Macaca fascicularis: one gene and its partners. The protein of the gene in region 3 binds, or shares a complex with, the protein of the main gene of each other region. Links are inferred from orthologs where the notes say so. Each region holds a gene or a part of one and is shown on either strand. Other genes may lie near its edges.

Region 1 (5,236 bases), on a different chromosome or scaffold from region 3:
CTTTTTTTTTTTTTTTTTTTGAGACGGAGTCTTGCTCTGTGCCCCAGGCTGGAGTGCAGTGGCACGATCTCGGCTCACTGCAAGCTCCGCCCCCCCGGGTTCACGCCATTCTCCTGCCTCAGCCTCCCGAGTAGCTGGGACTACAGGCGCCTGCCACCTCGCCCGGCTAATTTTCTTGTATTTTTAGTAGAGACGGGGTTTCACCGTGTTAGCCAGGATGGTCTCGATCTCCTGACCTCGTGATCCGCCCGTCTCGGCCTCCCAAAGTGCTAGGATTACAGGCTTGAGCCACCGCGCCCGGCCTTTTTTTTTCCTTTGAGACAGAATTTCGCTCTGTTGCCCAGGCTAGAGTGCAGTGGCGCGATCTCAGCTCACTGCAAGCTCCGCCTCCCGGGTTCACGCCATTCTCCTGCCTCAGCCTCCCACATAGCTGGGACTACAGGTACCCGCCACCATGCCCTGCTCATTTTTTTTGTATTTTTAGTAGAGACGGGGTTTCACCGTGTTAGCCAGGATGGTCTCAATCTCCTGACCTTGTGATCAGTCCCCCTTGGCCTCCCAAAGCACTGGGATTATAGGCGTGAGCCACTGCGCCCAGCCTGCCTTGGCCTCTTAAAGTGTAAGAATTACCAGTGTGAGCCATTGTGCCCCGCCAGAAATACATTTATGTAGCTTGTGGCTATCATACTGGACACTGCAGTTCTGGCATGGTCATGATTTCAGCACTGAATGGGCATTCTAAGCATGGAAGTTAGGACAAACTTACCTTACAGGTTACAATAGCTCCGACATCTGGCAGTAACTGGGACTCTGTTTCTCTTACTACAGACACCACAGGAAGCTACGGAGGGAAAAAGAAAAAACTGAAATGTCCTGGCTAACTCTTGGGTCAAAGCATTTGTGTCTTGAGAGTAATATAGGAATGTCTTGGTACACAGGTGAGAGCTGGAGTATGCATTCATTTATAGGCCAGAGCAGAAGGCCTTAGAAATTTTAGGAAATAGGAGGACCAGGGGGCTACAGAATGCTGCTAGAAGATGTAAACCTCTAAACTTCTTTTTTTGTTGTTGTCGTTGGAGATGGAGTCTTGCTCTGTTGCCCAGGCTGGAGTGCAGTGGCATATTCTCGGCTCACTGCAAGCTCCACCTCCCGGGTTCATGCCATTCTCCAGCCTCAGCCTCCCAAGTAGCTGAGACTACAGGCACCTGCCACCACGCCCGGCTAATTTTTTTTGTAGTAAATCCCTAAACTTCCAATAAGTTTTCTGGTGATTCTCTCAGAATTTCTTGGTATACAACTATATTGCCTATAATCATTGACAATTTTACTTTTTTTGGTTTTTTTTTTGAGATGGAGTTTCACTCTTGTTGCCCAGAGTGGAGTGCAATGGCGCCATCTCGGTTCACTGCAACCTCCACCTCCTGGGTTCAAGTGATTCTCCTGCCTCAGCCTCCCGAGTAGTTGGGATTACAGACGCCTGCCACCATGCTCGGGTAATTTTTTGTATTTTTAGTAGAGATGGGGTTTCACCATGTTGGTCAGACTGGTCTCGAACACCTGACCTCAGGTGATCAACCCACCTTGGCTTCCCAAAGTGCTGGGATTACAGGCGTGAGCCACTACATCTGGCTGACAATTTTATTCTTTCCTCCAAAGTTATACTGCTTCTTTCTGTTTCTTATTTTACTGCACAGGCTGAAATTTCCACAGAAATGTTACAAATAGTAGCTACACTTGTTTTAAGTGAATACTTGCAGAGTTTTCTCTTTGAGCATGGTATTGGCTGTTAGTATGAGACAGATATTTTGAGCCTCATCTTTTAACAATCTCTCCGTTGCTTACAATGCTTCAGCTCTCCTGGCCTTCTTTCAGTTTCCCCAACTTACTAAATTCTTCCCACTTTCAGATCTCTCTTCAACCTATTCTTTTTGCCAGAATTGCACTCTCTCCACCCACCTGACTCTAACCTACTCTTTAGATGATTCAGCTTCAATGTCACTTCTGCTGACTAGGATGGATTTGCCTGTTACATGTTCTTAAGGTGCCCTGTAATATTCTTTCAAAGCAGCCACCACATGTGTAACCATATGCTTATTTGAGCATTTATTTGTTTACAATTTGTGTCTGTGTCCTTTGATAGCAGAAACCAAGTCAGCGCTGTGCCTGACACATGAAAATACTCAAGTGGTATCTATCAAATGAACAAACTCAGGACTGTTAAGGACATTCCCAACAATGACTGAATAGAAAGCCCCTTGAGTCAGACGGCTTAAGTTACTTACTCAAAGCAGAATCGAGGTCAAGTTAGCCAGAACCTAACGGTTCTAATTCTGAATCCTCTTTCTACTGTGCTCCTTCAAATATTGCTTATATGATCCTGAGCTAATCCTGGATCAATCTCTAAAACTAGAAAGGTAGGTATTACGCATTCAACAAACATTTATTGAGGAGCTGCTTTGTGCTAGATACTGATGGTATGGTGGTAGCACCTGCACTTCGTGGAACTTAGATTTAAGCAAGGGAGAAGTCTAGTGGGAAACATACCTGAGTGTCTAATCATATGCTGACATAAGTGCTTGGAAGAAAAGGGACAGAGTTTTTTGTAAGTCTTTAACAAAACAAACAAAAACAAAACATCCCACAAAACTCCTTTCCTCAATTAGTGGGTCCAGAAGGGCTTCTCTGAGGTGATAATACAGAAACTAACGGAGGTAGGAATTAAACAGGCCTAAGAAGACAGAAGCGTTCCAGATAGATGGCATGTTACAAAGGCTCTGTAGCAGGAGAAAGCTTGGCACATTACCGACACTGAAAGAAGCTAGTGTGTTACAAATTTTTTTAAAAGGGCAAGCCAAAACTGTGATTATAACTTTTACAAATAGAAAAGACTGTATGATTAGATTGCGTCAGTGAGGTGGAGATAGTGGCACTAGATAAAGCCGGAGAGGTAAGCAACATTCATACAGTATACAACGCACTGCTGGGCTGAGCTGGGCTGGGTTACTGAGTTCGCATCTGCTTTTGTCCCAACCTCCCTCCCCGAGGGTCAGCAGCACAACCAAGCGAGATCAACACAACTAGTGTGTGGTGGCTAAGTGCACAACAGCGGCGATACGGCTAGAAGAAACTAAGAGACCAACATTGTACCACTAAGGCTCTAAAGACGCGTCCGCAGTGCCCATGCCTAAGGACTGGAACTCAAGGGCAGCCTAAGGGAAAAACAGAGAGAGAGGAGACGGCATGCCGCTTCCTTTACCGCGCCGTTCTCGCTGCTCTTCATCAGGCAGCCGGCAAGCGACGAAAAGATGTAGCCGTGGCGGGTGTAGGTGCCGCTGCCCGGGCTGCCCTCCTCCAAGTTACACAGACGTTCGCCTGCAGAAAAAATGCTGCATCGGTCATGGGCCCCCAGAAACTGCAGGCCGTCCAGGCTTCTTGCTTCGGCCCCTATCCAGGACTCTGTACGGGAAGCGCTCACTTACCGGGAATACAGTATCTCACAGGTGGTGCCATGATTGCCGCTGTCCCAAAACCCGGATGAAAACGAAATCGATTTCTCATTGGCCAAACCCAGGCACAGTTCCGCAGTAAGATACGCGTCAATTGGTGTTCTTTATCCTTGCGTGTAAACTCCATTTCCCAGGTTACCCCGGGACAAATCCGGGGGCGGAACTTCAGCGCTCCATGCTTGCGCCTGCGCGTGTGGTTGAGGATGGGCTGGCGGCAGGTCCGGGTCCGCTGGGTGGCACTGCAGGCGGCGGGCCATGGTGGTTTGGATTGAGCCGGGCCCGGCCGGGGCGCCGAGTCGGAGGCGGTGGCAGTGAGCGGCGGCAGAGGCTGCGGGGCTCGGTTTGGCTGACTGGGGAGTCGGCAGGCGGCAGGTAAGGGCGAAGCCTCGGCCCTTGCTCCCCATCCTAGTCCCTTTTTCTGGGTCGGGCAATGCCCTGGGGCCTTGTCTTGAGTCCGGGTTCCTGCTCTCTCCTCGCCCTGCCCTGCGGGGCTGCGCCCTCCTCAGCCGGAGCGCACCTTGCGAGCAACCGTTACGTTCAGAGCAGGAAGGAAGGAGGTCAAGCGACCCAACTCGTCTGTTTCACAGATGTGGAACCTCAGATTCAGAGACCGGGTTTGACTTGTCCAAAATCTTCAAGATAGAGCCCAAACTGGAACCCGCGATTTTTGACTTCCAGTCCATCGCAGTTTCACCTCGCGGCTGTCATTGAGAAATAAAACCTTTTCCCGGTTTTTGTTTTGTTTTGTTTTTGAAAAGGAGTCTCGCTCTTTGGCCAGGCTGGAGTGCAGTGGCGCGATCTCTGCGCACTGCAACCTCCGCCTCCTGGCATCAAGCGATTCTCCTGCCTCAGCCTCCCGCGCAGCTGGGACTACAGGCGCGCGCCATCACGCCCAGCTAATTTTTGTATTTTCAGTAGAGACGGGGTTTCACTATGTTGGCCAGGATGGTCTCGATCTCTTGAGCCGCCCGCCTCAGCCTCCCAAAGTGCAGGAATTACAGGTGATTCCTCCCAAAGTGAGCCACCGCGCCCGGCCTTTTCCCGGTTTTTTAACTGTAGCTTCCAGTCCTGCGGTCCGATCCCCTTCGCGGCCTCCCATCCCCACTTAAGTAAGCTTTCTCAGGTTGAAAAAGCCGAACTCTGGTTGTGTGGGCCCGTCATCAAAAGATAAGCAGCCCCAAAATAAAGTTGCTACTTTTTCTTCTCAGCGTGTTACCCCAGAAGGGAGGTCTGCACGTGAATAAAATGCTACTCTTTATTGATGTCTGGTATCTCCTACTTGAGATTGCAAACATCCCGAGAGCAGCGTCCTTGTCCAGATGACATTGCCCACGACTTTGATCTCAGTTCACCTGACTTCTGATGGCTTTGCCGCCTGTCCCTCCCTGTCCCCTCAGTCGACTTTCCCCTTGGGAAACAGATGGTGACTTAGAGCCATTGGAAGAGGGAAGTGCTGTGGCCTGCAATCTCCTCCTGTCTGGTGGCAGACGACCACTATGGCCTGTGACTGTTACTGAGGGATGAGAGTACTCGGGCTTGTGCTTGGGGTGGTAGTAAAGCTGCGCTTTGCTCTGTTTCCTCCCCTGTTCACTGAGATTACCCCCTTCTTCCCTACACACATATTTTTGAATTTTGCTTTACCTCTATTTCCTGAGATGAAAAGTCTGGGCCAGGTGCGGTGGCCCGCCTGTAATCCCAGCACTTTGGGAGGCTGAGGCAGGCGCATCACC
Region 2 (4,731 bases), on a different chromosome or scaffold from region 3:
TCTCCATATTATTCCAGGATGGGAGGCCATTCGACTGGAACACCATGCACTTTGAAAGACCTGAAACTATTCCCTAATGCTGGGACTCAGCCGGCAACCCAAGGGAGCACTGTTCATCTGCCACCCAGGCTTGGTGTTAGGACAGGAGAAAGCAGGCCTGTAGGCTGGAGGCAGTCACAGGGCTGTCAATGCAGACAAAGTAATGACCTCTCGAGTCTTCGCTGAGCCACATATGGGGACCACACATCACAGTCTTCACTCCTGCAAGGTCCACAGTCCTGTCCTTCTGGAGCACCTCCTTATCCCTCCTGTTCTAAAAGCCTCTGGCGTGTTTCCATCACAATCTCCTCCATTATTTCTGGCTTTAAGATGTCTTTGATCTAAAAAAGGGAAAAAGGCATTTGTTCAGAAGAGAAACCAACCATAAACAGACCACCAAGCCAATCCAAACATAAATCAAGCCGTTAACATAAACTTTCTGTATTCCTTTCATGTCTCAGAGACTAAGCGTTACAAGATATGATCTGCTAAAGCAGCCTGATACATCAGCAAGATTCTCTGGGATGTAGCCGACAAGAACAATTATTCTGACATCCATCCAAAAGCTGGCTGAAATCTGGGATAGGTAAGATGCAGTCCGAGGTTGCTCTCATAAACTAGTCCCACCTGACACCTCCAGCCCTAAAATCCTTAGACTGACACTACGCATTGAGAATCCTGCAAGTATCTTAGGGAAAGATCTACCAGACACTCATTAGGGCTGTTTCAGGCCAGTTCATACTGATGGATGTCTGGAAAGTATTGGGAGACACGCACATTGTCTCTGCGCAAACAACAGAGCAGCTCACAGATCAATGAAGAAGTGAGAGGTCCTGAGGAGAGTACCTGATGTGGAAGGGATGCTTCATAGCAGTAGAGGATGCTGGTATCATACAGCATCATCCTCTGAGTTACCAGCGAGATGACACAGTTCCGAAGCCGGGATATCACCTCTCGATCAGCAAGAGAGACAGGCTATAAGGAGACACAGAGGAGAAGGGAAGGGAAATATAAACAGGACCAAAATACGTGACCAGCCACAGAAAATCACAAATAAATTACTTATGAATCAGAAAATATCACCCTGGAACTCCAAACCAACCAAACAGCTAACTCCAAGGGAGATTAAAAGGAATGGGGCAGGGCGCAGTGTCTCATGCCTGTAATCCCAGCACTTCGGGAGGCCGAGGCGGGTGGATCACAAGGTCAGAAATTCGAGACCAGCCTGACCAACATGGTAAAACCCCATCTTTACTAAAAATACAAAAATTAGCAGAGCATGGTGGGGCACGCCTGTAATCCCAGCTACTCGGGAGGCTGAGGCAGGAGAATCTCTTATACTCGGGAGGCGGAGCTTGCAGTGAGCCGAGATGGCGCCACTGCACTCCAGCCTGGGCTACAGAGTGAGACTCTGTCTCAAAACAAAACAAACAAACAAACAAACAGAAAAAAGAATGGCTTCTTCAGTGGCTCTTCGGCGTTACCCTGCAACTTTGCCATCGCCACCAACAAACATCGAACCATTCACTGAGTTCATCTCCTTAGAAGAGAGAAGATAATATGGGGTTCATGAATACACCTTGATGGAAAGTCAAAGTGACTCAGCCTACAGCAGTAATAGAGCTAAAAACCACCAATTTCACTGGCCACAAAAACACAGCAAAGACTGAGTCCCATCCTTCCCACCGACAGTGGCCACAGTGTTTGCTCACCTCCAGGTTTGCAATGAAGCCCCCTGCTTCCTCTTCTTTGTGCTCAGGTGTTGGGTAAATCCAGATGAAGCCGTTGTTACCGAGAATCACTGAGGCACCACATGGCAAATCATGGAAGTGGGTCTTCTGCCGTTTCACCAGGGAGGGGGAAACCTGGACCAAAACCCCCTGACCTAGCTAAAGAAATACATCACAAAGCTAGGTCACTACAGGATCATCAGTGGGATGAATGAAAAGGAGACTACAGAATACACATCCTAAGTATATTCAAATTGGTGTCCTTCCTGTTTACAATTGCTGTCGCCTATACGCACACCCATAGTACACATTTTTGCAGAGAACACTTGGGGACTCAGAGGCTATTCATACATCCCAGCAGAAGGTGACTTTCAATGCTCTTCTCTGTCATTTCCCTTTACAGTCTCCCTTGCACTCTAAGCCAGAACTCAGGTGCCAGACATTAGAGAAGTTGAAGCCAATGAGGGAGCTGAAGCCTCCTGCTGGTCCAGTAGCACTGTGTTGTTCCAGGACCCTAGCTCATACCTGAACCCCAAACACTCATCTTGCCTGTGAGATGTGTGCCTCTGGGTAGGTAAGGAGCTGGGTGGAGCTGGGTGCAAATCCATGTCTGGTCCTGGCAGGCCAGCTCAAGTGCATGTCCTGCCAAGGGCGAGTCCACAGGACCCAGGGTTGCGAAAGTCAGCATACTGCAGCAGTCCTCTGCCTACTCCATGTACTTGAACGTGGCTGGCTGCAGCCACTCCATTAAGGGAAGAGGTTTTGTTCCACTCAGAAAATAAAAGTGTTCACCCAGATAAAGCTGAGAGACTAGTAAATCCTAATTTGTTTTAGGAAGTATGCTCTCCTTAAAATAATAAATAGCTTCAATAATGCAACCTCGTACAAGAAAAGCAGTGAAATTCCATTTAGAGGCTCAGATGACAGAGCAAGCTTTGCCAGCAATAACATCCACTGGACTGACTGGACGCTTGTCCAAGGGTTGTTTCTCCAGGCCCAGCCTCCCTTTGTTCCCAGGACCGCCTCAGCCCCGGCCCCAGTGCTGAGCTGCAGCGCCCCCTGGAGGGAGAGAGACAGCTGCACCTCCCAGCCCACAGTTGGACGGGCTCCTCTGTCCAAAGAGTCAGTCTCCCTGGAGAAAAAGGATAAAACTTGTTCTTTACAAAGCTACTGACCCATGACCCTGTGAACCCTGACCTGTGAACCCTCATGTTATGTTTAAGGAACACGATCAGTTTGTGGGATGCCAACCTCTATTAATGCTTAGCTACTGGGGTTCTTTAGGCCAGAATTCCAGAGAGCTATAGGGATTAAGAAATAGCCTTGCAATCTCAGTCAGCAAACAGGAACATCAAGAGCCCAACTTACTTTTCCATATTTCAGGCTCCTCGTGTGCAGAGAGACAGCTCCATCAGAGAACACTGCCTGGACCTCAGCCTGGCCAGGGTGATGAAGGAACAAACAGTAGCCTCGGCCACACACTGTCCTGTCCTCTGCAGCCTCTGCCCCTTGACCCCACACCTCCATCTTTTCCTCCCCTCTCCAATGGTCCAGGCTCAACAATCTTAGACAGACCCAGAGGACATCACTGGGACCTCACTTCTCCCCTTGGTTGTCATGAATATCTTTTTTAAAAAAATAGAGACAGAAGGCCAGGCGCGGTGGCTCATGCCTGTAATCCCAGCACTTTGGGAGGCTGAGGCGGGTGGATCACCTGAGGTCGGGAGTTCTAGACCAGCCTGACCAACATGGAGAAACCCCGTCTCTACTAAAAATACAAAATTAGCTGGGCGTAGTGGCAGGTGCCTGTAATCCCAGCTACTCAGGAGGCCGAGGCAGGAGAATCGCTCGAACCCAGGAGGCAGAGGTTGTGGTGAGCCAAGATCGCACCATTGCACTCCAGCCTGGGCAACAAGAGCGAAACTCCGTCTCAAAAAAATAAATTAAATTAAATTAAATTAAAGGCCAGGCATGGTGGCTCATGCCTATAATCCCAGCACTTTGGGAGGTCAAGGTGGGCAGATCACCTGAGGTCAGGAGTTCAAGACCAGCCTGGCCAATATGGTGAAACCCCGTCCCTACTAAAAATACAAAAATTACCAGGGCATGGCACACACCTGTAATCCCAGCTACTCGGGAGGCTAAAGCAGAATTGCTTGAATCCGGGAGGCGGAAGTTGCAGTGAGCTGAGATCACGCCACTGCACTCCAGTCTGGACAACAGAGCAAGACTCTGTCTTAAAAAAAAAAAAAAAATTTTAAATAACATATAATAGAGACAGAGTCGTGCACTGTCACCCAGGCTGGAATGCAGTGGTGTGATCAGAGCTCACTGTAGCCTTGAGCTCCTGGGCTCAAGCAACCCTCCGGCCCCAGCCTCCTGAGTAGCTAGGCATGTGCCGCCATGCCCGGCTAATTTTTTATTTTTATTTTTTTGTAGAGAGGGGGTCTTGCTATGTTGCCCAGGCTGGTCTTGAACTCTTAGGCTCAAGCAATCCTCCCTCCTTGGCCTTCCAAAGCGCTGGGATTACAGGCATGAGCCACCACACTCGGCCTGTCATTAATATCTTGATGTGAACAACACCTCTTCCACTCCCTGGGCTAAAAGTTAACATCATTAACAAAAGCCTAAAGCACAGGCTACCATAAGTTACAAGACCCAAAGAAATGACTTAGCAGCAGGTCTGAACAAGAGCTGGGGAGTCAGCCTGAGTTAAGGAGACCGAGAAAGGACACAGCAGAGCCCGACACCTGGTCTAACGGTTCTTCCGTCAGAGACATACAATGGAAGGCCCATTTCCCAGCCCCACAGAAAAGCATGAAGAGGCTGCAGTGCAAAGCACAGGATACACTGATGAGGTCCCCTTCCTGTAAGAAACCTCTCATCGCAAGCTCATCTTCTGCAGATCTTCTCCTCTGAAATACACAAAGAAATGACATTACTGAAGCCAGGTCCTCAGAAA
Region 3 (4,731 bases):
TTCCCTTGTTTCTAAAGGAATTTAAGGCTCAAGTTTTCATTTGAAAGTACCATTAAATGGACCTGAAAAACTCCAAGTTTTCAGCCACAGAAGGATTTAGCAGTTAAGTAAACACTGGAAAACTGAAGAACATTAGATTTTTTTCCTCCAGTTTGTGAACCATCCCCTCTTGTAACTGACTCCTAGAACTACTCCATCTAATATGCTCCAAAGTCCCCTGTCTTCCAATAACCCACAGTAATTGTCATCCCACTTTCCCAAATTAGAGCCTAGCATATAATTCTCTTAACCCCTGTACATCCTTAGGAAACATAAAACACTACCATGCCATAGTAAACTCCTAAGTTTATAAGTATGCCATGAAAAGAAAAACGTTGAGAAGTATCTTCATCATAGTATAAGAGTTTTGTTACTTCTATTGAGAAAGCTCTTTGCCAACTAATGCCCTTACAAAGAAAGAAAGGAACTATAAGGTGTTTTAATATTAAGCGAAGTATTTAATATTAACATGACATACTTGAGTAGAACAATAAAATTCCTAGCTGCATTTGTAATTTTGGCCCATAACAAGGCGAGGCTTACCCTTGCTGGAAAAAGGCAAAACTGACACAAATGGGCATGTGGTGGATACTTAATGGTACAGGATCACGCTCTTCAGGTGTATACTGTTTCAAAAGAAAATGTTTAATAATTATAGTCACTAAGTTACGAACATACAAAAAAATCATCTTGCACATCAAATACTAAAATAAAAATGAAGTTCCTTTATTCCTTTGACTACCCAATAACTTCTTTTATATTAATAATTGCCTGTTTGATTTTGCCACTCATGTTCCTCAAACTGTACAACTTCTTCAAAAACCTTTTTCAAAAATTTACTGACATACATATAATTTACATCCCATAAAATCCACTTTTTTTTTGAGACGAAGTTTGTTGCCCAGGCTGGAGTGCAGTGGTACAATCTCAGCTCACCGCAACCTGCCCCTCCCGGGTTCAAGCGATTCTCGTGTCTCAGCCTCCCGAGTAGCTGGGATTACAGGCATGTGCCACCATGCCAGGCTAATTTTGTATTTTTAGTAGAGACGGGGTTTATCCACATTGGTCAGGCTGGTCTTAAACTCCTGACCTCAGGTGATCCACCTGCCTCGGCCACTCATAGTGCTGGCATTACAGGTGTGAGCCACCGCGCCCAGCCAAAACCCACTCATTTTAAGTATATGATTCAATTTTTAGTAAATGTGTAGTTATGGATATATTTATGGACTCATCACCACAATCTAGTTTTTTAACATTTCCATTACTCCCTAAAATTCCTTTGAATCTGTCTGTAGTCCATAGGAGTCTGGTGTACTCCCACCCTAGCCCCAAGGAACCACTGATCTATCTTATTTCTGTCTCTGTAAATCTGACTTTCTGAGCATTCTATATAAATGGAAAAAAAAAATTGTAATGTTTTGCGCCTGGCTTCTTTCAACTCAGCATGCTTCATGCACCTTGCAGCATTTGTCAGTAGCTCAGTTCTTTTCATTACTGAACAGTATTTCATTATTTGTATATATGACATTTTATTTATCTACTCACCAGCTGGACATTCGAACTGTTTCCAGTTTCTGGCTAATACATGATGCTATGAATATTTGCATTCAAGTCTCTGAACACAATAAGCTCTTATTCCTCCTGTAGATTCTTAGGCATGGAATTGCTAGAATTTTTTTTTTTTCCAATTTTAAGCCATTGCAATTTGTCTTAATATTATAAAGTCGGCCGGGGGCGGTGGCTCACATCTGTAATCCCAGCACTTCGGAAGGCCGATGCAGGCGAGGTGGGGACTTCGAGACCAGCCTGACCAACACGGAGAAACCCTGTCTCTACTAAAAATACAAAATTAGCCAGGCGTGGTTGTGCATGCCTATAGTTCCAGCTACTTGGGAGGCTGAGGCAGGAAAATCGCTTGAACCCGGGAGGCAGATGTTGCAGTGGGTTGAGATCACATCATTGTACTCCAGCCCGGGCAACAAGAGTGAAACTCTTGTCTCAAAAAAAAAAAAAAAAAAAAAATTACAAGGTTAAATCTGCTGAAAGATGTACATATAAGAGAGGAGTATTTTCAGCTGGCCATGGTGGCTCATGCCTGTAATCCCAACACTTTGGGAGGCCGAGGTGGGAGAATCACTTGAGCCCAGGAGTTCAAGACCAGCCTGGGCAATTTGGTGAAACCATATCTCTACAAAAAACACAAAAATTAGTCAAGCGGGTGGCACACACCTGTAGTCCCCGCTACTCAAGAGACTGAGGAGGGAGGATTGCTTAAGTTCAAGAGGCAGAGGGTACAGTGAGCCGAGATCATGCCACTGCACCCCAGCCTGGACAACAGAGTGAGACCCTGTCTCAAAAAAAAAAAAAAAAAAAAAAGTATTTCCTTCTAATGTTATTTTTCTGAATATAGAATGTTGTCTACACTTAAAACTTAAGAAAGCTGCCAAACTTTTCCAACATGGCTGTACCATTTTACATTCCCACTAGCAAGAACACCACAGTATTCTTTAATTGATCTTTCAAGTGTAGTAATCGCTTTCTACTTTTTTTCACTTCCTTATATAAACTCCCTCCTCTAAAAGAATATTACCTCTACTGTTAATAAACCTTTGTCCCTACTTCTCACTTTTTAACGGTTCTGCTCCAGTCTACTGCCCAAAAGCAAAATTATGAATCATTGTTTAGAAAATCTGGGCATCTGATGTGTCCTTTTGCAACTTCAGGATTCAAACTACAACTACGGTGCACTTTCATTATTCTAGCATGTAATTTATATAAATTAAAACTGACATACTCAGAACAAAAGATAAAGAAAATGTAGGTCAATGGTTTTCAAAATGTGCTCCCTGGACCAGCAACATCAGTATTACCTAAGAACTCAAAGTTAAAAGTACAAATTCTTAAGTCGTAGCCCTGTTTCACTTTGGGAGTAGAGTCTAGCAATATGTTTTAACAAGCCCTCCGGGTATTTCTGATGGACTTTCATCAGCTCTTTGCCTAATGAACAAACATCCTGGAGACAAATATGAATCTGCTGATTCCTCAGTGCTTTTCAGCTATTGCATACCTCTTGCAGGGTAAGCATCTCACTGTGCTGAGATTCATTTATTTTTCACACATATGGCCCTTAAACATAAGTCAAACACTTCATCTAATGCTCAATCCAAAATAGTCATCTAATTCTATTCTGGAAAACCATGCTACGGTATGTTCTTACTGACAAATGTTTCAATAGAGGAACTGTTAAGAGATTTCAAGGGCAATTTTGACCATATGCAGTTTTAGTCTTATGAACAAATTTTTAGAACCTACCCAATTGCCATCTACAACATAACTTCACTAAAAACAAGTTTCCTGCACATTTAGGACCCTCCTCATTCATTCGTATCAAGGATCCTGGTTCACATAAGAGCTTACCAGTGTTACTTCATCTCCTTGGACAGAGACATCAGGTCTTCGGAAGTGACATAAAGCCACAATTGCAGCAATGCTGGCAGCATCAATAATATTTCCATCATGATTTAATAAATGTAGGTCTACACGTATTTGCCAAACCTGATAGTGAATTTAAAATAAAATAAATCCTGATTACAACCAGTGGCTATTTATCAAGAAAAGTAACATTGTGCACAAAGTAATTTTTCTTGCTGTTAAAAGATGCAGTTACTCCTTCTAGTTTGTTAACAAAAAATGTATTTTAGAAAATTTAAGCCAAACATCTGAAATACTATGTGAGTCGTTTAATCATAGAACACATACTTTAAATAGACAGAACTACTCTAATGTTTAATACTAAGATTTTCCTAACCTCAAATCTAATTACATTTTTATCATGTCTGTTAAAAACCACAAACTCTAGGTCAGGCACAGTGGCATTCACCTGTAATCCCAGCACTTTGGGAGGCGAAGATGGGAGAATTGCTTGAGCCTAGGAGTTCGAGACCAGCCTGGGCAACACAGCAAGACCCTATCTCTACGAAAAAAAAAAAGTTTTTTAGTTAGCTGGGTGGAGTGGCATGCGCCTGTAGTCCTAGCTATTCGGGAGGCTAAGGAGAGAGGATCCCTTGAGCCCAGGAGTTTAAGGTTACAGTGAGCTATAATAACACCACTGCACTCCTGCCTGGATGAAAGTGTCACTGTCCCTAACAGAAAATAATGAATATTTTCAAAAATTAAAAAACGTTAACCTTTTAGGTTTTGTGATATTTTTAGTAACTTTACAAGTAATGCAAATAGGAAGTATTATACTTAGGTATGGAATATGGAAAGCTAAATGACTTCTCTGGAATAAAAATGCTTGTCAAAATACCCTAATCAAGAATCAAATTCTGGCCAGGCACAGTAGCTCACGCCTATAATCCCAGCACTTTGGGAGGCCAAGGTGGGTGGATCACTTGAGGTCTGGAGTTCAAGACCAGTCTGATGGTGAAACTCTGTCTCTACTAAAAATACAAAAATTAGCCGGGTGTGGTGGCAGACGCCTGTAGTTCCAGCTGCTCAGAAAGCTGAGTGGGAGAATTGCTTGAACAGGGGAGGCAGAGGATGCAGTGAGCTGAGATTATACCACTGCACTCCAGTCTGGGCAACAGAGTGAGACTCTGTCTCAAAAAAAAAAAAAAAAAGAATAAAATTCTAATATCCTAATGCAGCACAATTTATTGGGACTAAGATTTTCAAAATTATCCCTGCCAC
Region 4 (5,428 bases), on a different chromosome or scaffold from region 3:
CTTATCGACAGCAACCCCAACCAGCCCCTCGTCATCCTGGAGATGGAGAGCGGTGCCTCAGCCAAGGCAACCCAGGGGCCGGGGCCCCCTCCCCTGGGGCACATCAGCCCTTTGGTGGCTGATATGTGACCTCTGTGGCTCTGAGCCAAGTGGTTGCCTAAGGGCCCACTGTCTGGGATTAAGGTTGGGAGGAGCAGCAGCTCCCTGCATGTGGGAGGCACACCTGGGCCAGGGTGTGGGCAGGGCCCTACACTGGGGTCCTCCACCCAGGCCCTGAGGACTACATCTGCTCTGGGAAGGGGTGGGGGTGGGTGGCGGTCCTTCTGAGGGCTGCAAATGCTCACACTAGTGAGGGTCCCTGCTCCAGCACTATGGTCTGAGCCATGTTCTCCCCACAGGCCCTGAATGAAGCCTTGAAGCTCTTCAAGACACACTCCCCTCAGACGTCTGCCATGCTCTTCACGGTGGACAACGAGGCTGGCAAGATCACTTGCCTGTGTCAAGTCCCTCAGGTCAGAACCACCTTGCACCAGTGGGAAGTGTTGGGTCTTAAGCTTGTTTGCTGAGGCCTGTGTGTGTACAACCTGCATTTAAAAGAGCCTGTCTCCTGCCTGCCTGTTGGTCACCTTTGCCAGTACCCCTTACCTAGGCCTCCTCATTGGTTGCATCTGTCTGGTTGATACTTGGCTTTGCCACTCTGTCCTGTCCTGGCAGGGGCCATGACTGCCCCCTGCACTAGCCGTAAAGTCTGTCTCGGCCTCCAGCAGTATCACCCAGGGCAAAGGAGTGGGTGATGGCTCCTCCCTCAATCCCATTTTCTGTCCTGACTTCCCCCTTCCCTTTCTTTCTTCTAGAATGCAGCCAATCGGGGCTTAAAAGCCAGCGAGTGGGTACAGCAGGTGTCAGGCCTGATGGACGGTAAAGGTGGGGGCAAGGATGTGTCTGCACAGGCCACAGGCAAAAACATTGGCTGCCTGCAGGAGGCGCTGCAGCTGGCCACTTCCTTCGCCCAGCTGCGCCTCGGGGATGTAAAGAACTGAGCGGGGGAGGAGGTGGCTTCTACTGGCTCCATCTGTCCAGCCGGGAGCTCTTCATCTGCTACAAGAACATTTGAATCCTGGGACCTTTTGAGAGCCCCTCCTACCCCGGCCGTACCTGGAACACCCTCACGAGCAGTCCTGTGACTCAGCGCCCCTTATACTTCTGCCCTGAGCCCTCCACATCAGTGCCATCTGTCGAGAACCACTACCCCCGCATTGCTGTTGATCACCACACTCGCATCTGTAGATAACAGCTCTCCAGCCTGAGCTTTCCGTGTCAGCAAGGACGAATCGTTTTTTGCTGCAGAGAATAAAAGGACCACGTGCAATACTTAATGCTATATGATCTCTATCCCTCTTCCCAGGTGGAGCTCGCTGTTTTGACAGCCCTTGGCCCCTGCTGTCTGTAGAATAAATGCTGTGGCTTCTACTGGCTGCTGTAGTGTTCACCTAGTCCAGCCCCAGAACCCTAAATTTTGGGAAAAGCCCCTGGGGTTGCCTCAAACGTTTGTGGAGGTTGAGGCCAAATAGGTAGGGTGACATGGAGCAAGGCGTTCATAATTCAGTAGATGGGGTTAGTGGAAGCAGAGAAGCCTTGGAGCTGCTCTCCCGCTGCCTTCCAGCAGGAGGGATGGATCAGGCAGCCCTGCACAAGTGGGACCAGGGCGCCAGGGACGCCGGCCGTTCTCCCTCCGAGCCTCCAGCAGGCGCTGTAGCGTCGCCCGTCACTCTCCCGACAGCCCTCACGCAGGCGCGCGTCTTTAAGCAACGGAAGAACCAGTGGGTGCGGCAGTGCGTTGGGCGGAAGCGGCTCTCAAGCCAGGAGCCGCCATGCCCGGGGACCACCGCCGCATCCGCGGCCCTGAAGAGTCGCAGCCGCCGCAGCTGTACGCGGCCGACGAGGAGGAGGCGCCCGCCGCCCGCGACCCAACGCGACTGCGGCCCGTGTACGCGCGCGCCGGGCTGCTGAGCCAGGCCAAAGGCTCGGCCTACCTGGAGGCGGGAGGCACAAAGGTGCTGTGTGCAGTGTCGGGCCCGCGACAGGCCGAGGGAGGCGAGCGCGGCGGCGGCCCGGCCGGATCTGGCGGCGAAGCCCCGGCCGCGCTGCGCGGTCGCCTGCTGTGCGACTTCCGCCGCGCGCCCTTCGCGGGCCGCCGGCGCCGCGCTCCCCCGGGCGGCGGCGAGGAGCGTGAGCTGGCGCTGGCGCTGCAGGAGGCACTGGAGCCGGCCGTGCGCCTGGGCCGCTACCCGCGCGCGCAGCTCGAGGTGTCGGCGTTGCTGCTGGAGGACGGCGGCTCGGCCCTGGCCGCCGCGCTCACCGCCGCCGCGCTCGCCCTGGCCGACGCGGGCGTTGAGATGTACGATCTGGTGGTGGGCTGTGGCCTGAGCCTCGCGCCGGGGCCCGCGCCCACTTGGCTGCTGGACCCCACGCGACTAGAGGAAGAGCGCGCCGCCGCGGGCCTCACCGTGGCGCTCATGCCTGTGCTGAATCAGGTGGCCGGGCTGCTGGGCAGCGGCGAGGGCGGCCTGATCGAGAGCTGGGCGGAGGCCGTACGCCTGGGGCTCGAGGGCTGCCAGCGCCTCTACCCCGTGCTGCAGCAGAGCCTGGTGCGGGCGGCGCGCCGCAGGGGCGCCGCCGCCCAGCCCTGAACTAGAAGCCTGAGCAACGACGGACGCAAGCCGAGGACCGTGCTGCCGCCGTCCCTGAAAAGACCCGCGCCGTCGGCCTCCAGCCTGCGTCGAGGTAAGCAGCCGGAGCCCTGGAGAGCACCTGGGTAGGCTCTAGCAGAGCCAAGGCGCCGGACAGCTGTGGTGTTGGAAAGGGTTTTTACAAACCTCGTTAAAGGAACTTTACTTGAGCCGGCTCTTAGCTTCGACCCAGTTGAGGAAACCTGTGAGCGCATCCTGACTCCCAAGTTGGAAACTTTAGCTGGACTTACCTGGAAGCTGGTACCTAGAGCTGCTGTCATTCAGGCCAGCCAGTGACCCCCTCCGATATAACTGGGCGACTTTTCAGAGGATGGACAAGACGACTGTGCCTTCTGTGTCTGAGCCAAAAGAAAGACCCTTTTATATTTGAAAAACGTCTTATGGTGTGGTTCTTCTTGGTCCGGGATTTAAGAGAGCAAGGCTCTTTTGTTCTTGCATCCCAGGTGTCAAGGGTCGCGGCGGCATTGCCTTAAACGGGTTCTGTTCCTTAGGCCCACGTGAACAGGAGACGGGCTGAAAAGAGCTGCAGAGCCTGAGGGGAGCGCTGTGATTTGGAGAAGCAGCTGCCCCCACATGAACCAGAGTTAGGGGAACTGCTGAGATACGACGAGAGTAGGGAGAGTTGGCCGGGCCGGCGGCTCACACCTGTAATCCCAGCACTTTGGGAGGCCAAGGCAGGGAGATCACCTGAGGTCGGAAGTTCGAGATCAGCCTGACCAACATGGAGAAACCCCGTCTCTACTAAAAATACAAAATTAGCCAGCACTAATAATGGTGGCATATGCCTGTAATCTTAGCTACTCGGGAGGCTGAGGCAGGAGAATCGCTTGAACCCGGGAGGTGGAGGTTGCGGTGAGTGGAGATCGCACCATTGCACTCCAGCCTGGGCAACAAGAGCAAGACTCCGTCTGAGGAAAAAAAGTACGGCCCCAGAAGTGCGCTGAGTGCACCTCGTGCCCCAACCTGGCTTGGTGCTGGGTAGCTGAAAAGGGTTTTGCTCTGCGTAGAAGCCATCTGTCCTTGGCCATGTGCAGAATGGCACAACCCGAGCCTCCACTGCTGGTGAGAAGTGGCACCCTGGTCCTACAAGGAAGACCCTGAGCAGCACCGCAGAGGGCAGGTGCACTGCTAGGAAGGCCAGGTACAACCTGACTGACTCACCACGAGGTGGGGTCTTTCCTGTGTCGCTACCAGCTCTGCTGGTTTGGGCTCAAGACTGCATGGTAGGAAGCTAGGTGACTGCCATTTGGAAGGCGGCCTGGTCCCCTCTCTGCACTCAGCTTCTCTAGGAAGGGCCGACCTGGGTCAGCCCAAGGACCAGAATGAGTTTCTGGGGCCACACCCAGAACCCCTGACCAGGAAAAATACAAATTTTATTTTTTCCCTTCTGACATAACGTGTCTTTCTAGAGCAGGTCTGAAATAGTATCACACCAGTGGGGAGAGGACATAATGTAATTCTGAAGGGTGACTTCCTAGAGTAGATGGGGAGTCTGGAGCCCAAAGAGGGCTGTGTGGGGTACACACTGAGAACATTCCAGCAGTTTCAGGGAGATTGGAAACTCAGGGAGATCTGCTGGCTATCTGTTGACTGGCGGTGTATCGGGAGGGGAGTGAAGATCAGCTGTGTCTGCATTCAGACAAGGCTGAGGGTGCCCTCTGAGGGGAGGGGAGGGGAGGGGAGGGGTGGGGTGGGGTGGGGGGTGGGGGTGGGGGTGGGGGTGGGGTGGGGATGGGCTGTCATCTGCCCCTTGCAAGAGAGCCTCAGCTTCATGAGGATGGCGACCTGGTGCAGTCCCAGGCCACCTCCTAACCGTGTCAGTCCCAGGACCATCATCTCGAAATGCAACCTCTAAAGAAGCTAAACCCACCACTACAGGTTGGCCCTCTGCTTGTCTGGCAAGCCCTGTGTTCACTTCCATTGCCCCAGCTCCAGATCAGGCATCTCAGGTTGCTAAGGTGGCTTTCAAAACCTACGCAAGGCAAGGAGCTGTCTATCCGAGAATGCCAGGAGCTGATGAGGCTGGAGGGGTTCCTGCTGCCTCCTGGCTGGCCTGGTCTTCAGCGTGGTTCTTCACCTGTAGGGAAAACAGAAGCAGGATAGTGGCAGAGGGGCCGGAGGCATGAGAGGCTAGGAAAGGGGGGCCACCTACTCAACATCTAGTCTCCCCCACACCCCGATTTCCATTTCCTCCCCAGAGCTTTAGCAGCTCAGGGCTTCTCTATATTCTACCTAAGACCTAGAAACTCAGAACCACCAGGCTAAAGAAAACAGTCGTCTACATGTAGCCATTCTTTTCCCAGATATTACAGGTGTGACTCAGGATCTAGGCAGCAGTGAAAGCCCTCCTGAGCCCAGCAGACCGAACACAGAGCTGGGTGGGTAGATGGGGGAGAGCTCCAGCCCCATTGTGGGCCGGGCATGGCCTGCCTCAGACCGGCAAGAGGTGGTGGTTTTGGATGGGCAGGGAATATTCAGGTACTCTAATGCCACACACAGGGCTGTTACCAGTTCCAGGAAGGTTAGTGTGCCACAGCTTCCCCAGGGGGCATGGTCCATGCGGCAGCCAGAAACCCTGCAGCAGCAGGAAGAGCGCAGGAAGCTGGTTTTTTTTTTTTTTTTTTTTTTTCTGAGACGGAGTTTTGCTCTTGTTACCCAGGCTGGAGTGCAATGGTGCG
Region 5 (4,731 bases), on a different chromosome or scaffold from region 3:
AATCACTTGAACTCGGGAGGTGGAGGTTGCAGTGAGCCGAGATTTCACCACTGCATTCCAGCCTGGGTGACAAGAGTGACACAGCAAGACTCCATCTCAAAAAAAAAAAAAAAAAATTGCAGCTGCAAGAGTGAGGTGCTGGAGTTAACCTTGACCAAAGAGCAGGGCAGAGGGTGTCAGTGGCACATAATTGCCTTTGCATGACATACTTTCAGAGCTTCACAGTAAGCTAATGTCCGGGACCACACTGAATGCTTTTTAATTTCCCATAGTGCCTGGCTCACAGGAAGTGCCCAGATAAGTAATAAAAAGTTAATGTGGTGGGCGCAGTGGCTCATGCCTGTAATCCCAGCACTTTGGGAGGCTGAGGCGGGCAGATCACAAGGTCAGGAGTTCCAGACCAGCCTGGCCAATATGGTGAAACCACCCGGTCTCTACTAAAAATGCAAAAATTAGCTAGGCGCGGTGGCGCGTGCCTGTAGTCTCAGCTACTCAGGAGGCTGAGGCAGGACAATCACTTGAACCTGTGAGGCGGAAGTTGCAGCGAGCCGAGATTGTGCCACTGCACTCCAGCCTGGGCGACAGAGCAAGACTGTCTCAAGAAAAAAAAGAAATTTATGTAACAAGGAATTAGCCCCAAAACCACATGGCTTTGGATGTGCTAATTGAACTGTTGTATATCTATTTGTGAGAGACCTCTTGAAATTGTTTAAATGGTTATATCAAGAGTTTAATATTCACTAAACTGGCATCATAAAATTGGATGACTTTCTCCAGCCTTGTCTGATCATGCTTATCGTCTCCCAGCTCTGTAATAAGCTTTGCAGGATCCAGCCTGTTCTGACCTATCCCTACTGAGTCCCCATAGCATTTTGTTCCCTCCTATGGCTCTTACCCTGTGGAGTATGCACATGGAGGACTTCTCTTCCTAATGGCAGGATCCTAACAGGACAGATCTGTGTACCTATCTTTCTATCCTCTCTGAGCCTGGTACCAACTAGATTCTTCATATGTATTTGTAACAGATTAAATTGTAAAGCAAACACAGTATTGATAAAAGTCTGTCTTGAAAACGGCTAGAAAGTGTTACATTTTGACACATGAGCATGTTAGATAACCTGCTTATTACACAAATCTCATGTTCCTTATGTCCCAGTTGGACATATTTGCTTCAGTTACTCTGACAGTTTGGGTTAGTTAACTTGCTAGTTAAGCAGCTAGCAAATTCAGGAAATGTATTCAATAACTCAAAAGAACCAAAAGATTACTTCTCTGCTCTGTCCCCTCCCCTTCACAATTTAATTCCTAAGGAACTGTGATCACCTAATAAATTACACCAGTATCTTTCTATTATTTAAAAACCGGCCAGATAGTTCATCATAAAAGATACGCGACCAACCTAAGTACCCATCAGCCAATGAATGGATAAAATGTGGTATATATATATATCCTATGGAATATTACTCAGCTATAAAAAAGAACCAAGTGTCTTTTGCAGCAACTTGGATAGTATTAGAAGCTATTCTTAGTGAAGTAACTCAAGAATGGAAAACCAAATACCAAATGTTCTCACTTGTAAGTGGGAGCTAAGCTACAGGTAAGCACACAGAGTGGTATAAGACACTGGAGACCCAGAAGGGGGAAGGGGAAGGATAAAAAAACGACATATTGGGTACAATATATAGTACTCAGGTGACTGGTACACCTCAGACTTCACCACTATACAATTCATCCACGTAACCCAAAACCACTTGTAGCCCTAAAATCTATTGAAGTAAAAAAACCGCCCAGTCCTCAGAAAACATCATTAGGAACACATAAAGCTCCTTGGTCTTTATCAACATATAAACAATGAGTTCTATAATCTCTTTCATCCAAAAAGGACTTTCTATGGATAGGCTTCAGCGGATCTATATCTCACATATTCTCAAAGAGGTCTAGAAACCAAGAATCACTGATGTGGATCGCCTGGCAGTCTTTTTACCTTTAAAGGTTTTGGTGAATATACTAAATAGCATAGAAGAGTTTTCTATGCTGAGCTCCTAGGAAATGATTTTAGCAAAATAAGACTTGGCCAGATTTGGATTCAGAAATCCTCATTATTTATATAATAATAAACTATATCAAAATATATCAAATATACTACATCAAAAATATCCTATAACATGAAATATGTGACTAATGAATTTTTAATGGAAGTTGTGAAATGTATCATGCTATTTGAAGGAGACAAAAGTATATTACAAAGTAGCATATAAGCTATAATATAATTTCAATTTGATGAACATACAGAGAATGTAGGCCAAGTTAAATTCTGTACCTCCGTTTCAATTATGAGGATAAGTGTCTTCTGCAGTTAGTAAGAATAAAGGAGTTAATCCATGCAAAACACAATACTTGGTAAATGGAAAACACACAGTATTTCATTGTTATATACTCACCCCCTGAATAATGGGACTACAGGTGATGTTTTGCTGCTTTATACTTTTCATGTAGTCTGCACTTCCTGTGGTGAACCTGGCTTACTATTATAATCAGAAAATTATTTTACTGCTGACTTCCAGTTAATTATGGAAGCTGTAGCAATACTAAGGGAGTTAACTCCAAATATACCATAATACTGTTTTTTAGTAAACTTTATTGTACAGAAACAGAAAATATGATTTTGCAATGATTTTCTCTCTAAAGCGTGGGTGAAAACCAGTAACTTACTTATAAAAATATTTTAGGACTCTGATAATATACATTCACACCTTATCTTCTGAGTATTTAAATGGGGAGAGGTTCACGTGAAAAAAGTATTCCCCAGGAAACCCATAGTTTTTTGCATCAACTGACCTGTAAAAAAGTCCACCTATATCAACTTTCTGCCAATCTGGAGAAGATCTGTTTTCTTTGATCTGACGTCATGTGTTCACAAGCTTCTAAAATGTTTGCCAAAATTAAAGTCTGCTGGATGGTTTTTGCCTTAACCCATATTCTTCCATTCATTCCAAATACTATCTCCAGTGGATAGAGTTTTCCCACTTCCTGTATGATTTCACAGTCTGGAGCTAATAGCCTGGTGGGAAGAGAAAAGGAAATGAAATTTAATAAAGCGGCGAAGGTGTCCAGAGTCTCCTTTAGAATGTGATTCCTTTTCTGAGTTCTCCGTAGTTGTTCAACAAGAACAAGGCACATGATGACATTTGCTGCCTCCTTCCAAGAAACTTTATAATGTTCAAAGGTATATTAGAGATCACAGAGGTGGGCTATCCCTTACGAAGAAGTCAAACTCCCTAGGTTACCAACTTTGCAAAAAATGTAAAAGTCATTCCACTAGATTGTTAGAGCACTTTAATTCTAGACTGAGAATCATAACTTTTTTTGTTACCTACAGTGCTAAAAGACACTTTAAACTTACTTTCCTGACCATATTATTCTCTTGCATTAAATACAGTACTTGGAGAGGAACATTGGCTCTTTCAAACCATAAGGGTGGTGCTTGGTTAATAACATGTTTCTTGGTTAATAACATGCTTCTCTGATGTCCAAACTTAATTCTCCAGATCTTTAGGATACGGAGCAAGGAGAGGCATACAAGATAGCTCTGAACTTCACGGGCTCTAGGAGTAAAGCCCCTGAATATGGCACAGCTTTGGGTGGGTAAATTTGTAAACACCAAAAAGAGAATCTGCCTCAGTGGGAACTGTTAAACTTACCAGGACCTAGTGTCAGAAGCCTTCTGTGAATGGCTACATAACCTTGAACATCACGATCTAAGCTGCGTGTGACCCCCATAATTAGAAAAATTTGATAATTCTGTACAACTGCAGACTGCATCTGTATTCAAGTGACTCAGAACAGGGGAAAGGCCAGTTTTCACATTTGGGCTGAGTCAACTAAGGAACAGGCCTGGGAGGGAAGACATGAATACAGAGTAAGAGCTTAAAGCATGAAGTATTAGCCCACCAGAAACAACACAGCCAAACACATCTGAATTTGATACGTTTCCAAGAAGATAGGATTAAATTCATGAGTTTCCAAATGTGTTAAAATGGATATTGATTTTTAACTTTGAGGAGAAATTTAAATGTTACAAATAATCTGAATCCTGAAGATTAACCAACTTTCCAAGAATGTGTAATTATAAAAGAAGGCAGGCAAGGCAGCAGACATCAGGACTTACTTTCTAATTAAGCCCAGAGTCACTTTAAAAAGCAGACCATCCTGTCCAATGACACCCATTCCGTTGGCTCGTCCACAGCTGTCAATACAGACCATCTCTGGTTCCATGTCTTTATTAGCAACCACAAATTGGCCATAGATGAGATCTCCAACCTACAATGATATTAAAAACCAGTTCATTTCCTCTCAGCAAACTACTCTACAGGTGCTGCTATTGGTTCTTTCTCACAGGCATCAATGCCAGCCACCTACAGTTCTGTGGCTAAGGGACTGACTGTACTACAGGATTCCCACAGTCACTTTGAAGTTGAGTCTTGGGGAAAAAAAGGAACACATGTATCATTCCCTTTCACCAACCAGGAAATCACAGACAAGGAGGCCATCTCAAGGCCAGAGAACACCTCTAGGATTGCACTGTCCAATATGGTAGGTAGCCAATTGTTTAAACTTATATTTAAATTAATTAAAATTAGATATTTAAAATTAATTTCCTGAGTTGCATTAGCCACATTTCAAGTGCTCAACAGCTATTTAAATTAATTAAAATTAGATATTTAAAATTAA
Region 6 (4,990 bases), on a different chromosome or scaffold from region 3:
CAAGAAGAGGATGCACTTTGGGAAGGTGAGGTGGGAGGATCCTTTGAGACCAGCCTGGACAACAAAATGAGACCCAGTCTCTACACACAAAAAAATTCTTTTTAAATTAGCCAGGTAGGTGGGACATGCCTGTAGTCTTAGTTCAGGAGGCCAAAGTGGGAGGATCACTTGAGCCTAGGAGATTGAGACTGCAGTGAGCCGTGATCACACCACTGCACTCCAGCCTGAGCACAGAGCAAGACTATGTCTCAACAAATAAATAGTGGTGGGCAGAGAGAAGGGTCAAAACTGAAGACTCCATGTGAGAACAATTTTTTTTTTTTTTTTTTTTTTGAGACAGAGTCTTGCTGTCATCCAGGCTGGAGTGCAGTGGTGCTATCTTGGCTAACTGTGACCTTCATCTCTGGTTCAAGTGATTCTCCTGCCCCAGCCTCCCTAGTAGCTGGGACTACAAGTACCTGCCACCACACTAATTTTTGTATTAGTAGAGATGGGGTTTCACCATGTTGGCCAGGCTGGTCTCGAACTCCTGACCTCAAGTGATCCATGAGAACAGGTAATTTTTGTACTTTTATTTTTTTTAGATGGAGTCTTGCTCTGTCGCCCAGGCTGCAGTGCAGTGGCACGATCTCGGCTCACTGCAACCTCCGCCTCCCCGGTTCAAGAGATTCTCCTGCCTCAGCCTCCTGAGTAACTCAGATTACAGGCATGTGCCACCACCCCCAGCTAATTTTGTATTTTTCGTAGAGACGGGGTTTCACCATGTTGGCCAGGATGGTCTCAAATTCCTGACCTGAAGCAATCCGCCTGCCTCAGCCTCTCAAAGTTCTGGGATTACAGGTGTGAGCCACCATGCCTGGCTGTTGCATTTTTTAGAGCCCAAGGTAAGCAGCAGGAAAAGCCCAAGGGGCTCCAGGCCATAGTCCAGAGGCCATGGGACATGGCCCCCACATCTCTAGGTTGGGTACTCAGAGCCAGCTGAGTTCTCCCTCAGCCCTTTGCTCAGGGCCCCGGATGTGCCAGAGTAAGGGTAACAGATTCCTCAGTCCAATGACCTGCTCATCTTGCCAGGCCCTGCCTCCTGCTCAGCTGCCTTGAGTCCTTACTGGGACATGTTGCTTTTTCCACCCAGGACCTCCCCCACAGCAACCCCCTAATCCACTGTTCTTTTCAGGGTTTGAATTAGGCTACACAGAGATAGGCAGTTCATGTGTGGGCGAGGGGCCCTGGTCATCCCCAGGAGCCAGCACCAGACCAGGCTCTGCCAGGCTTCACATGGCTCTGAAGTGCTATTGGGTGATTAACGTACAGTGAGGGTTGTGTGGGCAGAGGAGGGTTTTATTCTGGACATGGGTGGCTGGGTGGTCAGTCCCCCAGCAAGATAGAGGCCTCACGCACATGCTGCCTGACCACTCTGTCCAAGAGGGTGTGCACATCTCGAGCAGCCTGGGCAGCAGCCTCCAACACCCGCTCCAGGTGGTCCTCGTGCAGCCGGGCATCCATCTCAAGCAGCGCAATCTGTCCTGAGGCTGGCAGCAGGGCCAGGGCCAGCTGGGGGCCACCAGCTGCTTCCTCCACATGGCTGAGGTCCGCCAGGGCTGTGCCGTCCACAAAGCCAGCTGAGCACGCACACACAAAGTCTCTCATGGGTATCCCAGCATCCAGCACTGCCAGTGTGGCCGCATTCACACAAGCTGCATAGGTCCCACCATCTGCCTGTAGCACCTGCAGGGACCCCAGGGTGTGAGTCTATCAGACTCTCTCCCCAACCCCATCACACCCACCCCTCCCTGGATTGACACTGCAGCCGGCTCACCTGCACATAGATATCAATCTGGGAACGTGGGTGCAGCTGTGTAAGGATGGCTGCCTCGAAAGTCTGGCGGAGCTGCAGGCCCATCTCACAGGACTTCCGGTCCCCATGTGGCCGTCGCTTGCGCTCACCTGTGCTGAAGGTCGCTGAACTATATTGACAGTTCACTAGGGCCCTGTCCGGCAGGGCTCGAGCCCGGGAACCCCGGATCTGGAAGAGGACGGACACATGAGCCAGGCCCACTCCTTCCAGCTCACACGCCACTGTCCTCTGTGGGTCTGCCTCTCCCTCCACTTTCAATGCCTCAGCAAGGGGCAACTACATTACCTCCAAAACAAAGCCCCCTGTTTTGCACTGTCTTGCATGTGTTGCCCTCTGGCATCTTTTAATTGGCTTCCTTGTGCCCATCCTTGCCCCATTCCCTGCCAACCCAAGTTTACAAACATCAAGGCTGATTCTGTCTCACCTTCACACTCAAATCCTAATTACCTTACAAAGGTTTCACATTACATATGAAATAAAATCCCAAATCATTTCCCTGGTCTACAAAACCCTAATTCCTCACCTCCCCGGGAACTCTCAACCTTATTTAGAGTTATCCCCTCTTTCCCCACCAGCAGTCTTTCTGTTATGCATGAGTGCCTTGCTTGTTTTCACCACCGTGGTCTTCGCCCTCCTGGTTCCCTCCGCCTGGAAAGCAGAGCTCCTACCCTCATGCGCTAAACAAACACTCTTTCAATACCTTCACTGGCCAGGCACAGTTACAGCGCTGGAAACACAGCAATGAAACCAGAGAGTTTTATGTAGTTTCTGTCCTTAGGAAGCTTATGTTCTAGCGAGGAAACGGGAAAATGCTTAAGCAAAATAGGCATTTGAGATTGTAGATGCACAAAAGACAAGGGTTTATTGTAGGGAGAGAAGTACCGCATGGATAAAGCCGTCTGAGAAGGAGTGACGTCGGAGTAGAGCTGAGAGGAGAGGGAGCGAGTGGGGGAGTGCCTGGCACGTTGAAGAGCCGCAAAGAGGAGGGAGAGCGCAGGCACAGAGACCGATGAGAAAGGCAGGACCACCGCGCAGCACACTAAAGACTTGCGTTTACTCCGAGTGAGATGCAGTGCTGAGCATCGGCTGTGTAGACTGAGGCGCGCCGGCCGCACCTCTCAAGTCCCCGAACCTGTGCTCAGCCCGGCTGCCCCGCAGATCCCGCGGTCACGCGATTCCCATCCCGCACGCCCACTCGCCTCGTGCGGGCCGTAGACCACCGCCAGCGCCTTGGTGTTGCCCTGCTCGATGTAGGCCGAGCCGTCAGCCTGCGCGAACACGCCCATCCGAGCCTGGATCTTGCGCAGCTCCCCGGCGCGCCGACCGTCCACCCGGTAGCCCTGGTCCGACAAGAGCTCCAGCCCCGCCATGCTGCCCGGCCGCCAGCTCCGCTCTCTGCCTAGTTCTCTGATTCGCGGGAGAACTACAGCGCCCTGCGGCTCCGACCTCCCCAAATCTACGGTTTCCGGCGGTCCGCTATCACTTCCGGTTCCGGGGAGCTACAGCTCCCCGCGGTCCCGACCTCCCTGGATCTACGGTTTCCGGCGGTCCGCTGTCACTTCCGGTCCCGGAGAACTGGAGTTCCTCGCGGCACCGACCTCCCTGGATCTACGGTTTCTGGCGGTTCGGCTTCACTTCTGTCTCCGGGGAACTGCGGTGGCGCTGTCGGGGAAGCAGCGGTTGAGCCCGCAGCCGTTCCCGGAGCTGTGTCCCGGGTGCCAGGAGGTGGGCGCCCGCCGAAGGAGAAATTCCCGTCACGCCCTCGGGACCAGTGGTGCCTACATTCAGCCCTTCCCCGCGCCCCAAGTGTGGAAGTGGAAGGATGAACCCAGTGGGTTGCGACACTGACAGGAGAAGGCATAGAGCGGTGCTAGAAAAGTGACCAGGCTGGTGTCCCAGGATGGTCCACACCTGGCACCTCTCCAGTCCTCTCATGCCCTCCCTTTACACCGGGCTTCCACACTGCAGTCGAGTGGGCCTCCCTTTTCCTTTTGAGGTTGCAGATTTCCTCATCCTTTCCAGAGAGGGGTTGTGTGTCTGTTTATCTCTTGCCACTTAACCTCAGCGGCTTCAAATAGCAATCATTCTATTATTATGTCCTGCAGTCTTGGGTTATCTAGGCTCAGCTAGGTAGTTTGCACGTAGGCTCTCTCCTACAGTTGCTGCCAGATGGTGGCTGGGGCTGGAGCCATCCTAAAGCTTTCTCTTTCACATCTTTGGTGGCTGATGCTGGTGGCTGGCCAGGACCTCATCTGTGGCTGTCAGGCAGCACACCTACCTGTGGCTTCTCCATGCTTCCTTGCAATATGGCAGCTGGGTTCCAAGGGTAGCCTTCCAGGACAATGAGATGGACAACATGTGCATGATATTTTTAGAACCTAGCCTCAGAAGTCACATAGTGTCCCTCCTGCCAGACTCTGTGGGTCAAGGCAGTCAGACACATCTACCCAGGCTTAAGGGATGGGGACAGGGACCCCACCCTTCAGTGAGAGGAGTGTCAATATTAGACTGTAGGAACAGCAGGTGGGCTGGGGAAATGCAGTCTGCTGCAGGGGCCCAAGTTCAGCATCCCCTTAGAGGTGGTTATGCTCTCCTGAAAGACTGAGAGGCATGAGAATGAGTGAGCAAGCCACAGCCCTGCTGCTGCAGCTGGTATGAGGCCATGATAGGCCACTATCCTCTGCCACTGGCCACCACCGATTCCCCACCCTTGGCTCTGCAGCCAGACACTGCGTACTGTGGAGCAGCCCAGGCCCTTCTCCCCTTGCAGTCTGAGCTCTTCCTGTCCCTGTTCTTACTGGGTCATTTTGTTTGTTTTGTTTTTTTGAGATGGAGTCTCACTCTGTCACCCAGGCTGGAGTGCTGTGGCACAGTATCAGCGCACTGCTCCCTCCACCTCCTGGGTCCAAGTGATTCTTGTATCTCAGCCTCCCAAGTAGCTGGGAAGCTGGGATTACAGGCACCTGCCACTATGCCTGGGGAAGGTTTTTGGTTTTTTTTTTTTTTTTTTTTTTTTGGAGACGGAGTCTCACTGTCACCCAGGCTGGAGTGCAGAGGCACGATCTCAGCTCACTGCAACCTCCAGCTCCTGGGTTCAAGCGATTCTCCTACCTCAGCCTCCCAAGTAGCTGGGAT

The links.
Region 1: EXOSC9 (region 3) and EXOSC1 share a complex: the UniProt entries of both Homo sapiens proteins name them as parts of the RNA exosome core complex. The link is inferred for Macaca fascicularis from reciprocal best matches to the Homo sapiens genes EXOSC9 and EXOSC1.
Region 2: EXOSC9 (region 3) and EXOSC2 share a complex: the UniProt entries of both Homo sapiens proteins name them as parts of the RNA exosome core complex. The link is inferred for Macaca fascicularis from reciprocal best matches to the Homo sapiens genes EXOSC9 and EXOSC2.
Region 4: EXOSC9 (region 3) and EXOSC6 share a complex: the UniProt entries of both Homo sapiens proteins name them as parts of the RNA exosome core complex. The link is inferred for Macaca fascicularis from reciprocal best matches to the Homo sapiens genes EXOSC9 and EXOSC6.
Region 5: EXOSC9 (region 3) and EXOSC3 share a complex: the UniProt entries of both Homo sapiens proteins name them as parts of the RNA exosome core complex. The link is inferred for Macaca fascicularis from reciprocal best matches to the Homo sapiens genes EXOSC9 and EXOSC3.
Region 6: EXOSC9 (region 3) and EXOSC4 share a complex: the UniProt entries of both Homo sapiens proteins name them as parts of the RNA exosome core complex. The link is inferred for Macaca fascicularis from reciprocal best matches to the Homo sapiens genes EXOSC9 and EXOSC4.

The regions. Positions count from the first base shown.
Region 1 is NC_088383.1:106,396,702-106,401,937, forward strand, and holds the start of EXOSC1 (exosome complex component CSL4), read right to left. Parts: upstream 3,533-5,236; 5' UTR 3,511-3,532; coding exon 3,480-3,510; intron 3,373-3,479; coding exon 3,257-3,372; intron 842-3,256; coding exon 767-841; intron 1-766. UniProt on the Homo sapiens protein: Non-catalytic component of the RNA exosome complex which has 3'->5' exoribonuclease activity and participates in a multitude of cellular RNA processing and degradation events.
Region 2 is NC_088389.1:13,177,592-13,182,322, forward strand, and holds part of EXOSC2 (exosome complex component RRP4), read right to left. Parts: intron 4,685-4,731; coding exon 4,619-4,684; intron 3,207-4,618; coding exon 3,138-3,206; intron 1,929-3,137; coding exon 1,752-1,928; intron 1,015-1,751; coding exon 886-1,014; intron 381-885; coding exon 300-380; 3' UTR 1-299. UniProt on the Homo sapiens protein: Non-catalytic component of the RNA exosome complex which has 3'->5' exoribonuclease activity and participates in a multitude of cellular RNA processing and degradation events.
Region 3 is NC_088379.1:126,880,181-126,884,911, reverse strand, and holds part of EXOSC9 (exosome complex component RRP45), read right to left. Parts: intron 3,595-4,731; coding exon 3,457-3,594; intron 666-3,456; coding exon 583-665; intron 1-582. UniProt on the Homo sapiens protein: Non-catalytic component of the RNA exosome complex which has 3'->5' exoribonuclease activity and participates in a multitude of cellular RNA processing and degradation events.
Region 4 is NC_088394.1:70,113,315-70,118,742, forward strand, and holds EXOSC6 (exosome complex component MTR3), read left to right. Parts: upstream 1-1,831; 5' UTR 1,832-1,871; coding exon 1,872-2,690; 3' UTR 2,691-4,141; downstream 4,142-5,428. Other genes in the region: AARS1 (alanine--tRNA ligase, cytoplasmic), read left to right, coding at 1-66, 399-512, 855-1,040. UniProt on the Homo sapiens protein: Non-catalytic component of the RNA exosome complex which has 3'->5' exoribonuclease activity and participates in a multitude of cellular RNA processing and degradation events.
Region 5 is NC_088389.1:61,541,389-61,546,119, reverse strand, and holds part of EXOSC3 (exosome complex component RRP40), read right to left. Parts: intron 4,594-4,731; exon of another isoform or gene 4,399-4,593; intron 4,321-4,398; coding exon 4,169-4,320; intron 3,062-4,168; coding exon 2,860-3,061; 3' UTR 2,839-2,859; exon of another isoform or gene 2,621-2,838; intron 2,526-2,620; exon of another isoform or gene 2,402-2,525; intron 1,044-2,401; exon of another isoform or gene 1-1,043. UniProt on the Homo sapiens protein: Non-catalytic component of the RNA exosome complex which has 3'->5' exoribonuclease activity and participates in a multitude of cellular RNA processing and degradation events.
Region 6 is NC_088382.1:153,749,075-153,754,064, reverse strand, and holds EXOSC4 (exosome complex component RRP41), read right to left. Parts: upstream 3,334-4,990; 5' UTR 3,226-3,333; coding exon 3,055-3,225; exon of another isoform or gene 2,738-3,054; intron 2,024-2,737; coding exon 1,817-2,023; intron 1,726-1,816; coding exon 1,366-1,725; 3' UTR 1,318-1,365; downstream 1-1,317. UniProt on the Homo sapiens protein: Non-catalytic component of the RNA exosome complex which has 3'->5' exoribonuclease activity and participates in a multitude of cellular RNA processing and degradation events.